Linked DNA regions of Lepisosteus oculatus. The protein of the gene in region 2 interacts with the protein of the main gene of each other region in a biochemical or structural test. Links are inferred from orthologs where the notes say so. Each region holds a gene or a part of one and is shown on either strand. Other genes may lie near its edges.

What was found.
Region 1: of the proteins of proline/serine-rich coiled-coil protein 1 (region 2) and asb7, one has a biochemical effect on the other in vitro, tested with the Homo sapiens proteins (2 studies listed by BioGRID, with this or other methods). The link is inferred for Lepisosteus oculatus from reciprocal best matches to the Homo sapiens genes PSRC1 and ASB7.

Annotation. Positions count from the first base shown.
Region 1 is NC_090700.1:41,751,323-41,758,744, reverse strand, and holds the start of asb7 (ankyrin repeat and SOCS box protein 7), read left to right. Parts: upstream 1-4,412; 5' UTR 4,413-4,665; intron 4,666-4,744; exon of another isoform or gene 4,745-4,842; intron 4,843-5,007; exon of another isoform or gene 5,008-5,319; intron 5,320-6,496; 5' UTR 6,497-6,599; intron 6,600-6,804; 5' UTR 6,805-6,853; coding exon 6,854-7,064; intron 7,065-7,422. UniProt on the Homo sapiens protein: Probable substrate-recognition component of a SCF-like ECS (Elongin-Cullin-SOCS-box protein) E3 ubiquitin-protein ligase complex which mediates the ubiquitination and subsequent proteasomal degradation of target proteins.
Region 2 is NC_090700.1:40,699,334-40,706,799, reverse strand, and holds the start of proline/serine-rich coiled-coil protein 1, read left to right. Parts: upstream 1-4,453; 5' UTR 4,454-4,718; coding exon 4,719-4,764; exon of another isoform or gene 4,765-4,768; intron 4,769-4,911; exon of another isoform or gene 4,912-4,940; coding exon of another isoform or gene 4,941-4,959; intron 4,960-5,311; coding exon of another isoform or gene 5,312-5,336; coding exon 5,337-5,394; intron 5,395-5,944; coding exon 5,945-6,863; intron 6,864-7,064; coding exon 7,065-7,173; intron 7,174-7,466. Other genes in the region: slc6a11a (solute carrier family 6 member 11a), read right to left, coding at 461-656; ppil1 (peptidyl-prolyl cis-trans isomerase-like 1), read right to left, coding at 2,022-2,242, 2,537-2,605, 3,545-3,699, 4,052-4,107. UniProt on the Homo sapiens protein: Required for normal progression through mitosis. Required for normal congress of chromosomes at the metaphase plate, and for normal rate of chromosomal segregation during anaphase. Plays a role in the regulation of mitotic spindle dynamics.

The DNA of each region.
Region 1 (7,422 bases), about 1.1 Mb from region 2:
AAAGCATAACCACTACAAAACGTCAGCTACTGTACAATGTCTCCTTCTAGAATGGTTAGCATTAAGACATTAGCAGGGTTTACCTTATCATCCTTATCAACCTTATCATCCAGGTGGATGCTGCACATTGGTGGTGGTGGAGGGGAGTCCCCATTACCTGTAAAGCACTTTGAGTGTAGTGCCCAGAAAAGCACTATATAAGTGTAAGCAATTATTATTATTATTATTATTTACATGTGTATTTATTATTTTTTAAAAACCTGTAGAAATTTGTGTGATCTGATAGTAACATTGATTGTATCTTCATATTTTGCACCACAGGAAAAAAAAATAGGGAAGCAAAACATTGTGAACTCTGAAACATAATCTGTCTGGATAAAAAATGATTTTTCTTAAAGGTTAAACACATAATAATAATAATAATAATAATAATAATAATAATAATAATAATAATAATAATAATAATAATAATAAACTTTATTTTATATAGCGCCTTTAAAGGTGGCTTCTCAAAGCGCTTTACAGGATGACAATAACAATAAATAAGAAGACTACAACAATAAATAAGAAAATTTCACAAGACAGGACACAATTATAATTACAGCAATACAACAATAACAATAGAGGAGACCGTGGAAGATGGTATTAAGAAGAGCAGAGGGGTGAAGAATGGAACCAGTTAAGTAAAGGCTTTTCTGAAAAGGAGGGTTTTGAGTCTGGATTTGAAGGAGTTTAGAGAAGGTGACTCTCTAATATCCTTGGGCAAGGAGTTCCAGAGCTTGGGGGCATAGCAGGAGAAGGCCCTGTCGCCCATACAATGTAGACGGGCTTGGGGGACAGTAAGGAGGGCAGAATTTGAAGAGCGGAGGTTGCGAGGTGGGGAGTAGGGCGATAAAAGTTCAGACAGGTATTGAGGTGCCAAGCCATGTAAAGCCTTGTAGGTGAGCATGAGGATTTTAAAGTCTACGCGGAATTTGACCGGAAGCCAGTGCAAGGACTCCAGGATAGGAGTAATGTGAACACTTGCACTAGATCTGGTCAGGATTCTGGCTGCTGAATTTTGGACATACTGCAGCTTGTTCAGAGTAGATTTAGATACCCCAGGGAGCAGAGCATTGCAGTAGTCAATTCGAGAGAATACAAATATGTTGATCAGCTTTTCAGCCACAGTTAATGATAGCATAGGGCGTAGTCTTGCGATATTTCTAAGATGAAAAAAAGTTTTGACAGTATGCTGTACATGTGGGTCGAATGTTAAGCCAGAATCGAATATAACCCCAAGGTTTTTCAATTTTGATTGAAGCTCAAGTACAGAGCCATCTACAGACAGGGTTGCAGGACTGGCTTTACGAAGTTGATGGGGGGTACCAATAAGCATGACTTCAGTCTTGTCACAGTTAAGATGAAGGAAGTTTTGAGTCATCCAAATTTTTATGTCAGAGATGCAATTAGATAGAATAGAGACAGCCACATCAGTGTCGGGTTTGGTATGGATGTATATTTGAGTATCGTCAGCGTAAAAATGAAAGCTGAGGCCATGTGATCTTAAAAGCTGACCAAGTGGGAACATGTAAATGCTGAAGAGCAAGGGGCCCAGTATTGAGCCCTGAGGGACACCAGACTTGACAAGACCAATTTCAGACCTGTACCCATTGAGAGAGACAAAGTGACAGCGATCAGTGAGGTAAGACTTAAACCATTTGAGGGCAGTGTCAGAGACTCCAAACACAGTCTCACATGCCATATATCTATTGCTCATAGACCAAATGTACAATTTCCTAACATGGCAGATGCCTGAAGATTTTTCTTTTTTGATTTTGATCTATTGTACATGTGATTTGTGACAACATTCTTACCTGCACTCAGAATCTATCAAGAGGGTTGGTTAAAATCTGGAAAGGTGGAACAATGAAATGCCGTGGCAGTAACTGAACAGATTTTAGTAATTTTCTATATTATTATTATAACATATTAATCATATTAACATATGTGGTTCTTGTCCTGCAGCACAATTACGGGGGAAAGTAATCAGCATACTGTTTACTGAAGGTATTAGGGTTCAGAGGCCTTTGCCCAATCTTTAAAGATCTTTGCCCAAGAACCGTTTCACTTTTTCCTGACTGGTACAGGTGTCTTAGATTAAAATACTAATTTTGTATCGGACTCAACTCCAAGGAAAAGGAATCGCCTCTCAAGTGTCCACCCCTTTTCATTACTTTACTGTAAAAAAGAGTTCAGATGGCCTTTTATTGGTGGCAACATCAACACCATAAATTGTAACAGGCTGGGAAAATTAGTGACGATAACAATACAATTATTGTAGCACATCACATAAGCCTAAATGTTTTCTACAAACTAAGGTTTGTAAAAAAGCCTAAGAGCATTTTGGAGTGTGAATTTCAATTATTCCCATTTAAGAGATTCTTTGTTGGAGATGTTTGTTTTATTGTTGTATTGATTTGTTGGACATACATTAATACATTTCTCCAAGGTGATAATAATGTTTGAATTTAATTTATGGTAACCGAGAGTTGTTTTAAAGTACTGTATGTACAGTATTGACCAGAAATGAAGAGACAATAGTATTACACTGTTCTCCGAAGATGCCTTTTGTAACAGAGTAAACCTCTTTTCAAATCGAAAGAAAACGGCCCTGCGACTTCTTGCATACAGTACCTACACAGTTATTCTGATTAACGTAATCGTGTACTGCAAACGTTGCTAAACGTGCTGAAATTCAAAAGTACATGAAAGCTACTAACATGTCAAGTTTACAGATAATACCAATATAGGTGGATTATCAAACACAAAATTAAATTAAAAAAGATCTTGATAAGATTCGTGACTTGGAAAACAGCGGGTATACAGTATGTGGTAGACGATGCATAATGTAAACAAGTGCAGCTGGTAAAACTGAGCTATAAATACAAAATGGAAAACGCAGAGTTAGAAGAACTTATGAAAAAAAATCGATTGCTTCATCATTTACATTTTCAACGCGGATAAGGAATTAAAGAGGCACACGAAACGTTACAATATACATCATAAGAATTGGGACCGTGAAGTAAAAATGGCTATTCTTGCTGTATACTCAAGCAGTTTAGATTTAAAGATGAATAAAAGACAAAAGTCAATAATATCTTTTTTTTATTTCTGGGTATTTCTACTAATATATGCTTTAAAGTTTTAGACCACTTTTATTAGTAGTGTCCCACCCCCGCCTGGGGTAGGTGAGCTATTGGGTACACATTAACTTGAAGTAAAATTATATAAGTATTTGGTTGCAAATACTAATTGTTTTTTAAGCAAACACTGTATAAAAAGTATAAAATTAGACGAGAAGTGTTATTATTTAAAATACTAAAACCTGTTCAGTTTTCTTTAGCGTTCCGTCGTTCCGGGTTTTACCCAGTCTATGGGAGAGCTTCGACAGGGATCCCGCAGAAGGTGAAAAAGTCTGTTTCGAACTTTGCAGGTTGACAAACTGAAACAAAGTCACTTATTTATCTGAAATGTTTATTTTCAAATATGTCAATTTATCCATTGTATCCTGACCCCAAAACAGAAATTTAAGAAATCGTAAAGTTTTCTGAAACTGAAAAATGTTTGATTTTCAATTATTTTCCTAACCAGAATTAAAATAATTATTAAAATCTTAAATTGAGAATTTTAATTATTGATTATTTAGCATGCATTATTGGTACCCTCAAATAGGTGTACAAAGAAATACAAATGCACTCCGGTCTCCAGTACATCGCATATCACCTCATAATGGCAAGACGGATTACTGTATATCTGCCTAAAGGAAAAAATAAATACATCGTGGAGTGTTGCAAGGAACGAAAACGAATTGATTTTTTTATTGATACTAGTTAAAATGGATTCCAGTGTGAAAATAGGAACGTGTACGAGAATCTACTTGTTAATTCAGCCAACACACAGCGGCGGATCGGTGAAGAAAGTCAATGGAGATACTGGATCCTAAAGTGCTTAAAGAGCGCCAACATTGCTGATAGTCTGTATACTAAGAAAAGTATTAAATATATATTTTAACTATTTACAATATACTACTGCCGTTATATAGCTTAGCATATTATTGTTATACAATACTGCATTATTGATAACATTTAGTTTAGGTTACCAAATAACGACACGTTGTAAAACGTCAGATATTTCCTGATAAGAGAAAATAAAAAAAATCTTGTAATCTTTTAAAAATCGTTAAGTATAACACAAACTCCCAGTGGGGTGTTCGTTTAGGCAGCAATGAAAAGCAAGTTTCCCCTCTGTTCTTTTATCTCTTTTAATGTCCGCAAATGAACTAGACCTATTGTCGCGACGTCGCTGGCGGTCACCTGTTTTTGCAGCAGTTTGTCCAACTAATTTACGGCAGCTCGAAAACTGATGTTTCTTGATGCTGATTGGTTATCATGCGATGGTTCCTTCCCAGTAACCCTTCTGAATTGGGTTGGTTCAGTAAAGTCAATATAAATTGAATCAATTATTCATTTTTATTTTTAAAAAACAATCTATTGTATCAATTGTGTCGAAGAAAACAGCAACCACAACGTTATAGAGCCGGCGTTTTGAAATATGGGCGCCGGTGCTTTATTTCGATTGTTCGAAACACCAGGGGAAAAACTCTAAAATACAGTCCTGTGGAAGGTAAAGTCTAATTCTGCTTCAGTAATCAATTTATCCTTTTTCGTAGCACAATTTCAAGTTTAGTATTTTACACACTTACCAGTTAAATCCGGATTATCGAATGGTGAGGAGATTAAAACAAAACAAAAATAAAACTGCTCAATTTGAACGGAAGTCTGAAAAGGGGAGACCTGGAAGGTAACACTCTATTGTTTGTATAATAATGGTCCTCTTCACTTCAGAACTCTTGTATTGTTATTTTACAAATTTGAAGTTATATAATTGCAGCTCTATGACATCAGGGGCTATCCTTTGAGTGACTCGGATACAATATTGACATTTTATTTGCAAAACAATGTGACAAGTGCAGTAGGAGCACAGGTCTGCATATAGTGTATAGCGCACACAATATTGTAATGCTCTAGGTTTGGGTTTGGCTATTACGCATTTAAACTGAACAACATCCTAACGAAACAGTATTACTATTAGACACGGTGCTCCTAAAAGTTATGTTTAAAGACTAAATCAGGTGTAAGTTTGCGCTTTTTCGATAATTGTATATGCCTCTCTGATATTGGTGGTAGTCCCTTTTGACGAGGCAAAGGTAGAGACAGTGTTTACAGCTTCACCGGCTTTTTAGTTGACTGTTGCATTGAGTACTTAAACACATCAATGGTAAGTATTTTAGCATCAGCTATAGAACTATTTGGAAATAATTGATGTTGAGTTATTGTACTGTATACCATAACTTGGACTTGAAACCATGAACTTTAAAGGAAAAAGTACATACTCTGTAAACAAAGTAATTATACATACTGTAGAACCATTTGTTCTACATTCTAAATTCTTTTGAGTATCTATCTAGAAATCAAGTATTTGTATGTCCCATACTACCACAAATAAAAAGGTGTTAACTGATTAAATTAAAATTTCAGTCAAGAATGCAAATTTATGGACAACTTGTAATGGTTTCTGGCTTATTTCTTAATTGAGAATTGTTTTACTGTGGCAAAATATTCTTAAACAGTAACCATAGCCAGCATAATAATCTCTCCTAAAAGAAAATGCTAGTGGTGTTTCATTAATAATTTATTTGCAAGAATTAAGTGGTAAGTGGACCAGACCCATATTGTTGTAATTCCGCTGATTGCCAATATATAGTACAAAGGTAGCAGACAAAAAACGAAGAAAAAAAAACAAAAACATGTGTAGTTGTTTAATAGGACATTGGGCCACCATGTGTAGCCAGTATGGCCTGTATGTGCTGTGTTGTAGAGTTTTCCAGTGTCTTTCCTATTTTGCCTCCCACTTCAAATTAATGCACAGATACAACAATCCTGGGCTATGCGCTTCCTTCTACTTGTGCCCTTTGCAGTAACTATCTTGCTCGGAGATTTCCATACTGACATCTCTGTAGAGAGTTGCTCCTAAAACATCAGTAAATTGAGCTGCCTTGGTGTCTGAAAATCCTACAAAATGCATCTCAACTTTTAAAGCAAGAGGTCAATTCTTAACCATAATTATAGGCAGCCAAGGTCTGGACAGCCCTTGTGTACCTGGCCTTAAGGATGCTGGGATGTTATTTACACATGTGGAAGCTTTAACTTTCAATTTACTTGGTGTTCAACATATCCCCAGTTGTTGCCATTGTTTGTACCTTATGCTCTGAACTTTAGAGATTTACAACACTTTTGAAAAGTGAGGATAATGTGAGATATCAGACATGTTATTTTTTATTTGAAAGAAGTTATTTTTTATGGAGCATTCTCAGTATGAAGTTGGTAATAAAGGATATATTTTTCCCTTGTCTATGAACTCTTATTGACATTATGCATTGTGGTCTTTTTTTTAGATATGTGTGTCAATTGTCTTGAATGATGATCACCTCTGGAAGATGCATTAGTATGTTTAAAGGGCTAAAAAACTGTGTTGCACATCAAGAGCTTTGAAACAAGGTAATATGATCAAATTTTTAATTACAGAAAAAGTGGTTAAAGACTAAGGTTTGATGTCAGAATTGCACACTGAATACTAGTGTAGTTTGACCTAGGTAGCATGTGATGTGTTGTATACTACATTAATAATATTGTAGACTGCATTTATGGATGTTTTGTCCATAAATGTGAATTATGCACTTAGTAATGATGTTTCTTGTTTTAGACAAAAATCTGAAAGTCCTGATGAATCCCTTGTAACGAGATGTAACAGGATGCTTCATCACCACTGTCGAAGGAACCCTGAACTGCAAGAAGAGCTGCAGATTCAAACTGCAGTTGCAGCAGGAGATGTCCATACGGTGCGCAAAATGCTGGAGCAGGGCTACTCTCCAAATGGCCGTGATGCCAATGGCTGGACCCTGCTTCACTTTTCAGCAGCAAGAGGGAAGGAGAGATGTGTCCGAGTGTTCCTGGAACATGGAGGTGGGAAATGTGGGAAAATTTACCTAATTTTTTAATTTGACTCTGAATAAGTCAGGTGAATAGAGTTGAGAATAGTTTAGGTCATATCAATAGATAATCTTATTTGAAGAGAATCTGAGTTAATGTTAACATCACTAGGTGTTCGTACTGGTATTGTCTGATAGTCTCAGAACAAAATATCTGAAATAGTGTTTGCAACAGTGAATCAAATGTTGCAAAAATAACCATGTGTGAGAGTTTTCCTTACCATTAATCTCAATGCATTTTCCAAGCAGAATTACTCAGTAATCATAAACATTTTTAGGAAGAATATATAGTGAATACTTACAGATATTGATATTAAATGCAGATGATGGTG
Region 2 (7,466 bases):
AATGACAAATGAAATGCAATTAAAAATTTCAAGACATTTTTTATTGTTACATATTGTTTGTATGTTTTGTTTGAGTAATATGAAAACTAGACTTTTCAACAAGTGGTAAAGGAGCTGGTTTCCTAATTCTCTGAGGGAGATACCTTCACCCCTGTGTCCCCAGATCCAATATGCTCTCAGAGTTCAAATGTTTATCATACAGACAAACACAGCCACGCCAAGCAGATAGTGCAGCAGTTTACACATTAATACCCCTGTCACACTGCTCCAGTTGTTACTTTGGACAGATTCTCTGCATATGCAGTTCTGGTGCAAAATACAGGCCAGTTTTCCATGGCAATGAAGGGGAATGAGTGTTTGGAAAATACAGCAGATTTAAAAAACAGGATGCCCTACATAATCTAATTTAAAAATGTACATATTCACATGGATAGCTAAGAAATAAGACAGTATAATTCACCTCCTCCGTTTTTGTAGCACAGGTAGGGGAACCTCCACATGTTTGCCAGCCCAACAATGGATCCAGCAACAGCCAAGATGAACTCCCACTTGTTTGCCCACTGGCCCCTCTCCTGGATCTTCTGTCCCTTCTGCTTCAGTCTGCTCCCCTGGACTGGGGGCTCACACAGGGCTCCTGTCTGAAGATCCCCGGCCATCCCAACCACAGCCAGAGCAGCTCATACAATGAAGCGAGTGAGCTGTCCGCTGGAGTCTGGGAGGAACACACGCAGAACTCCACTCGCTCCGCCTCTCACCAATTCCCAATCGGAGCCTTTCGCTCCAGGTGAACTGTGACCTACAGAGGCCAGAAACTAAGGCATTTGGTGAAAATCTGTAGGACAGCAGTCATTTGTTCCATGCATGTGTTTTTTTAGTACTTTTATACGAATGTTAGAGATTGCAGTCTCCGACTGAGCCTGGCAACATTCTAGCCAGATTTGAGTCTGTACCCTGCAGAGCTGTGCCAGAGGGCTGGTTCACAGGGTAAGGGCAGTGCACCACAAAGCAGTGACCCTGCTTCGACAGTGCATTCAAAGCCAGGGGTAAAGGAAAAACTGATACAAGTATTGTGAGCTACACTTTAAAAACATCAGGAGCTGAATATCAATACCATTCTAAATATATTAACAGAAGTACTGGCTTGCTATGGAAATATGCAGTGATAAAAAGGAAAACTGAAACCACTGAGGTGCTTCCATTGCCTGTTCTGGTAGCCTCACAGACAACCACGGAGTCGAGACATTTCCCCGATACCGGCTGGTGTCGTCAGTGCACTGAATCCCAGTCATTACCTTCTCCTTGTGCCGTTGGACACTTCAGCAGGATTGGCAGCTGCGCTTGTCTCCGAGGACCGAAACACCCAAACTGCTGTAACTGTGACTCAAGCAAGGCTAGATCACAGCCCAGTTACAAATTTGCCTTTAGAGATAAGAGTGCAAGAATCCCTTTTCACTGCATTCAGGTGACTGGCCCTCTTAACTGACAACCTGAGTCTTGTGCTCACTATGTTGATGACATGGTTCTAGCAGGGACTCAGGAACTGGCGTGATGGAATTGCTTTGCCAGCCGTCGGAATAGTTTTTGGCCTTTTCTGTTTTTGCAAACACTGACTCAGCTCTCAAGAGCATTTCCCAGGACAGGTGAGTAGGCATCTCCCTCCCCCAGGTGGCAATGCAGGCTTGCTGCATTCACTGAGGCATTCCAGAGTTTCTAGGAGCCTAAACAAACAAGTTAATTTCTTTCATGCTATTGGTTTTTTGCACGCTGTACTGAGTTAGAAAAAAACAATCACACAATGTTTTAAAAAAACTGCAAAATATTTATTTCAATTTGTGATTGAGATTCAAAATAATTCAAGATTCAGAAAAGTCATATTCCACTAGACGGCGCACGACTCCACACTCAGTAGGAACGCTGAGATTGCGAAGGAGTATTGGGGACCCCTCCCTGCTGATGGCACCTTGAAGAAGCAGCTCTTCTGAATAACAGGCAGACTATCGGCCGTGCAGAGTGTGCGCGTCTCAGCTTGGCAGGGAGGTCTTTAAGATTTTGATGTCGTCCACCGGTCTGTCCTGCGTGTTGGTCTCCACCATGCCGACGCGGCTGACGACGGAGATGCCCTGGCACACGCGCCCGAAGATGCTGTGCTTCCCATCCAGCCACTGTGTTGGTGCCAGCGTCAGGAAGAACTGGCTCCCGTTGGTGTCCGGCCCGGCGTTTGCCATCGCCAAAATCCCAGCTCCTAAATCCATACAAAATCAAGGAATTTCTGTCGGATTGCCATTATGTCATCTTTTCAGATTCGGTGTTATACTGAGAAAAACAAAGCTTCCTCTGCCCCCAAACAAATGGGAAAGATACCAATATACACTTCCTTTTGAAAAAGTAAAAGCATGTAGTAGCAAGATAAATGTGCTTCTCAACCCACATGTTTATTGGAATTAGACTGATGATAATGCCTTCATGTATATCACAATCAAATTTCAGTTGGTCAATACAAGACAAATAAAATAATTTGACAGAGGAATTAAATTACCTGTGAATTTCAATTCAGGATGCAGTTCATCTTCAAACTGTTTGCCATAAATGGAGGCTCCTCCTCGCCCTGTAATGGGTAATGCACAGTTATCATGAGAAAAGAGCCATGTCAGAGCTACAGCCCCAGGGGTATGCTGCTCAGAGCTATAAACCCTGACAGGATTCTCATTGGGCATTTGATGAGACAACACTATGTTTGTACAATAAGCCTTTAGAATAGTTTATTAAGGTTCAGAATAAATTTTGGGGACTTTAGTATCTTATTTTTATATATAATTTTCCATCTGGCTACTTACTCAAATTTGTTCCATGTTTATGGAAGGTCCTATACTGTAGTTTCACTATTACCTTACATAAAGATGACAATTTTTATTTGTCTTTTTACTTAACAAAAAATTGGTACAGAAATAACTGGTACTACCGCAACTAAACAGTTTTCAAAACAATATTCTTACACAGTATAAACCTATTAGGAAGAGTCTCCTGCTTTACTGGATCTCTGATAACCCTTTACACTGAGAAACAGTAGAGCCGGGAAACTCACCCTCAAAACTCACACTTACTGGAAACTTGCTTCTATTCTGCCTGAGCTTTTCATAACTTTGGTCAATCAATTGCTTTTTTGCATGGTATCACGTGATTTCAAGTGATACCATGCAAGTGATTTCACAGGACACCTTTCTAATGATCACTATCTTGCACTTCTTAAAGTTAACTAAGATAGTTGGCATCTGTAAAACCTCCAGTTATGTTAATCTTTGCAACACAGAGAATACTGAATATGTTTTGTCGCCCTGTTCAACACACTTAAACTCAAGAAACACGTCAGGGGGAACTATGGAGAAATTTAACGAAGTTTATGGCAACTAGTCTCAGAGCCTTAGCTCTTTAGAAGTGGACGTTCCAGCTGGGCTGCGGGTGTCCGTAAAGAGCACTGGTCCAGACCCCACCCAACCTCTCCCAGCGCCTCTCTGTAGACCGTATCGGGGAGTCCGTACACACTCGCCTGTACCAGTCGGGTCTCCGCCCTGGATCATAAAGTCTTTGATGATCCGGTGAAACTTGGTACCGTTGTAGTAGCCCCTCCGAGCCAGCTCAGCGAAGTTCTTACAGGTTTTGGGGGCGTGTTTCCAGTACAGCTCCACCACGATCGTCCCCATTCTGCAGGAAAACAACGTGATACGGACTACAGCAAACCTACACCGCGCCTTTCCGATACCAAAATCGCTCAATCATGCGAGCCTATGCCATTAAGTCTCCCCCAGTATGTTTTTTTTATTAATACTGCAATATTTAATGATAATAAGAAAATATGTATTTTAGCATGGATGGTCATCCAATTTTAATAAGAGACTATAAACTGACAGTTATAGATTATTGGTAGCCCGTTCATATAGCGCAAACAGACAGTGCCACTTTTTAACCAAATCAGGCATGTAGTAGTCCATGATAGAATCCATTTAAATTTCAGCGACAACAGGATTAGAATTATTCTATCTCCTGCAACACCTACGTTGTCTCCAGGCAGACTGTCGGGGGCTGCCACGAATCTGGCGGAATACCTGACATCCTTCTTTCAGGAGAGCGTTGTAGAAGAACACAAGAGTAAAGACAAACTCATTCGAACACAAACTTCCCACACTTCCTGTCTCGGGGGTCCGACTGAAACCCTGTCCGAATGGAAACAACACAAATCGCAGCCAACAAGTTCCGGTAGTTTCTGATACAAGCCGAAAACAGTGTATAAGCCCCAAAAGACAACGTTTTTAATAGATTGTATCGATACTTTGTGTACTGGCAGATATATCGCATTTCTGATTGGCATTTCATTTTAGATTTTCAGCAATACCTCTTGGCAGCTACAGGAGTTGCCAGCCGTTGGGAGTGTGGCGTCACTACTGCCCTCGTCCAATCAGGAAACAGAGTTACAAAATTCAAACGTCAAGAGAAACAAAACGACAGCACGAGCTAGAACGGACTGTTATATTTTAAATTTCTTTACCTTTTAAAAAATAATCTTATTTGAAAACGTGCGCGTTTTTTAAATAGTTTATTACGGCTGCTGGATTACTTATTCGCTTTATCTGATGTTAAAGCAGGTGTAGCTGTGTTGTACATGTCATTGTGGCCGACTTTGTTTATTAATTGTGTGGTGCTGGTGACAGACTGGGCATTAGTAGATGAAGAAGGGTCACAACAGAGGGGAAAATAATCAAATATCAGCACGTAGGTAATAATAATTCCATATTAAATACCCAAATGTTTTCGTTTAAATGAAGTTCATTTCGATCGGATTGTCTTTAGCTTTGGTTATGTGGAAATTAATAAGGTAGTTAATGAAGTTAACCGAATTGTATTGTTTTGTTTTTATAGGTTCACATACCGATTAATTGCTCGGTAGGATGGATCATACAGGTGAAGGTATCATCGTATTAAGTATATTTTATGGAACTGTCTTTTCTAAAGCTTTTCCTTTTACAAACATATTTCACTTTAAACACGAAAATTTCATGAAAGTCTGGATAATTCATACGTTTGACTAAATTACTTAATTTATGACTCGATAACCTATTAAATAAAATACTGATTACATATAAATGCAAACCTTCATATATAGAAGCATTAACGAAACTACGTATAATAATATTGTTCATTATTACAATTATTAATTGTAAGGTGACTTTCTATTGCTTTGAAACTAATCACCCAATCATTTGGGTTTTACATGTTTTTACAAAACATGTAAAACCCAAATGATTAAATTGGTCGTAAAATGGACGATGTTGCTTGTCTTTCAGATGTTTGTTTTATAACGGAAGAGACGTTCGACTTCGGCATAGACTCGCCTTCAGACAGGTACTGGTTGTCCTGGTTTTAAAACTTCACACGTTTCTAAAGAGCACTGCCAGGCTCTTACGGGCAGGCAGTGCTCGCAGACGGCTGCGTGTTTGAGCTCTGGTGACCTGGCTTGACCAGGCGCTTGCTGTACGTGCTGGGATGATGTAGTCTACCTCAGAGTGCACAGAAGTCTGCTCCACCCCAGCTTTTCCAGGCACTAAGGCTGTGGAGAGGGCCAGATACAGTAACTACATATTTAGTAGCATAGCTGCATGTCAGTCTGCACGTGTTGACTGAAAAAGACATGTCCACCATGTTGGCTGTATACAGTATGTACTATATTTCCTTTTTCAGTATGCGAGTATATATCTCCATCTTCTCTGCAGTCTGCTTACTGCACATTAATTACACTCACTTGTGAAGTCTAGTGCTTCTTTGTGCAAACGTGAGGAGGGTGTCTGCACTATTAAGAAGCGGTAGTTATATTTTGGCAGTGCAGTTCGCCGGTCTTGATTGGAGCAGTTGTGCCATGGGACTGTGCTCACGTGCTGTCTGTGTGCCCTTGCAGTCGGGAGCTCTGCGACTCCATCATGGCCGAGGAAGAGGAGGTTTTTGTGGGCCCTGTACGGCACGTTGAGAGATGTGTTGCCAAGAGCATTGACCTCAACGTTCAGGGGGCAAGGGAGAGCCAGAGAGTGGGGGGCTGGGGGAGCAAGGCGGGAGGCGATGGGGGGCTGCTGAACTGGAGCCCGCTGAGTGCGGAGAAACTGGAGGAGATCTCCCGCGAGGCCAACCGCCTGGCCAGCCAGCTGGAGAGAACCGTGCTGAAGGAGAACGCCGGGGACGGGTGCCAGGAGTCGCCCCGCGTGCGGGCGCTGAGAGACAGGCAGGAACCGCGCCGGAGCCCGCGCAGGGAGACCTATATCGTGAAGGACAGCCCAGTGAAGTCCCTCCTTCCCTCCGTCGTGCCCGAGAGTGGGTGTCCATCACCGCGCCCGGATGCTGAAGGGAAGAGCCCGGCTGCGAAGCGGAGGAGTAGGCGGACTCCCGGCAGAGCAGCCAGGACAGCGCCAGCTCAGACTGTGGCCTCCCCAGGGCCTGGGGTCCTGCCACGCTGTGAGGGGGGGTCTCCTGCCATGAGCGTCTCTTCATCCTCCTGCAGCCTGCAGCCCACCAGTCCCAGCGTCCCGTCCCCAACACGGCAGGCAAAGAGGCACAGCACCCGCTCACCCGCATTCATCAGGCTCCCTGCGGGGGACAAACCGCTTCCTCAGTCCGGCACGCCCTCGAGGACGGGCAAAGCGGCAGATAGCAAGACTGCCAGGCAGACGGTGCCCTCGCCCTTGGCCCAGGACAGTAAGAACTCCCTGAGCAAGTCCAGTGTGAGCTGCCCTTCATCTGCCAAACCTTCGCCTGGGAGAAAAACAAAGTCCAGCACGCCCTCCCACTCCCTGCCTCACCGTGGCCACCTGCCGCCAGCTCGCCAGGTATGGTCCTGCACGTGCCCCGGGCTTCCCTGCACACCAGTAACACTCCGACTGCTAAACAGACTGATAATATGATTATCATATCATTGGTAGTTTTGTAATCTTAATATAGAGATATGGAATTAAATTTTGTGTAAGCCATAGCAAAGTGAAAACAACACTTCATAGCACGTTTTAAGCCTTTTTCCCCATTTACTGCAGGAAAGACTGAAACGCTCAGTGGCAGATTCAAAGGGTGTAGGCTCCCCTTCCCAGAAGGCCGTTTTGGTGCCTGGAGTGGCTGTCGGCACAGAGAGAATCACACCCTCAGGTAGTAACATCTAACCCTTTCATTGCTTGCAGTCTTGTGTTTCAAGGACACAGCTGTTTATTGGAGGAAGCACACCACCTTTTCTTTTTTTAAAAATGAAAAAAGTTCCATATGTTACAAACCACAAAGTTTCAAATACTGCAGAACCACTAGGTCTTACTGCACGGGCTCCGCAGCACCAGAGCTGGAGCATGCTGGCATACAGGGACTCTGAGAGCAGCTGATATTTTAGATTTGCAAGGTCAGCCTGTTCTTCACTTTGAATGTTTTGCTAATGTTGCTCTTGCCAGTTG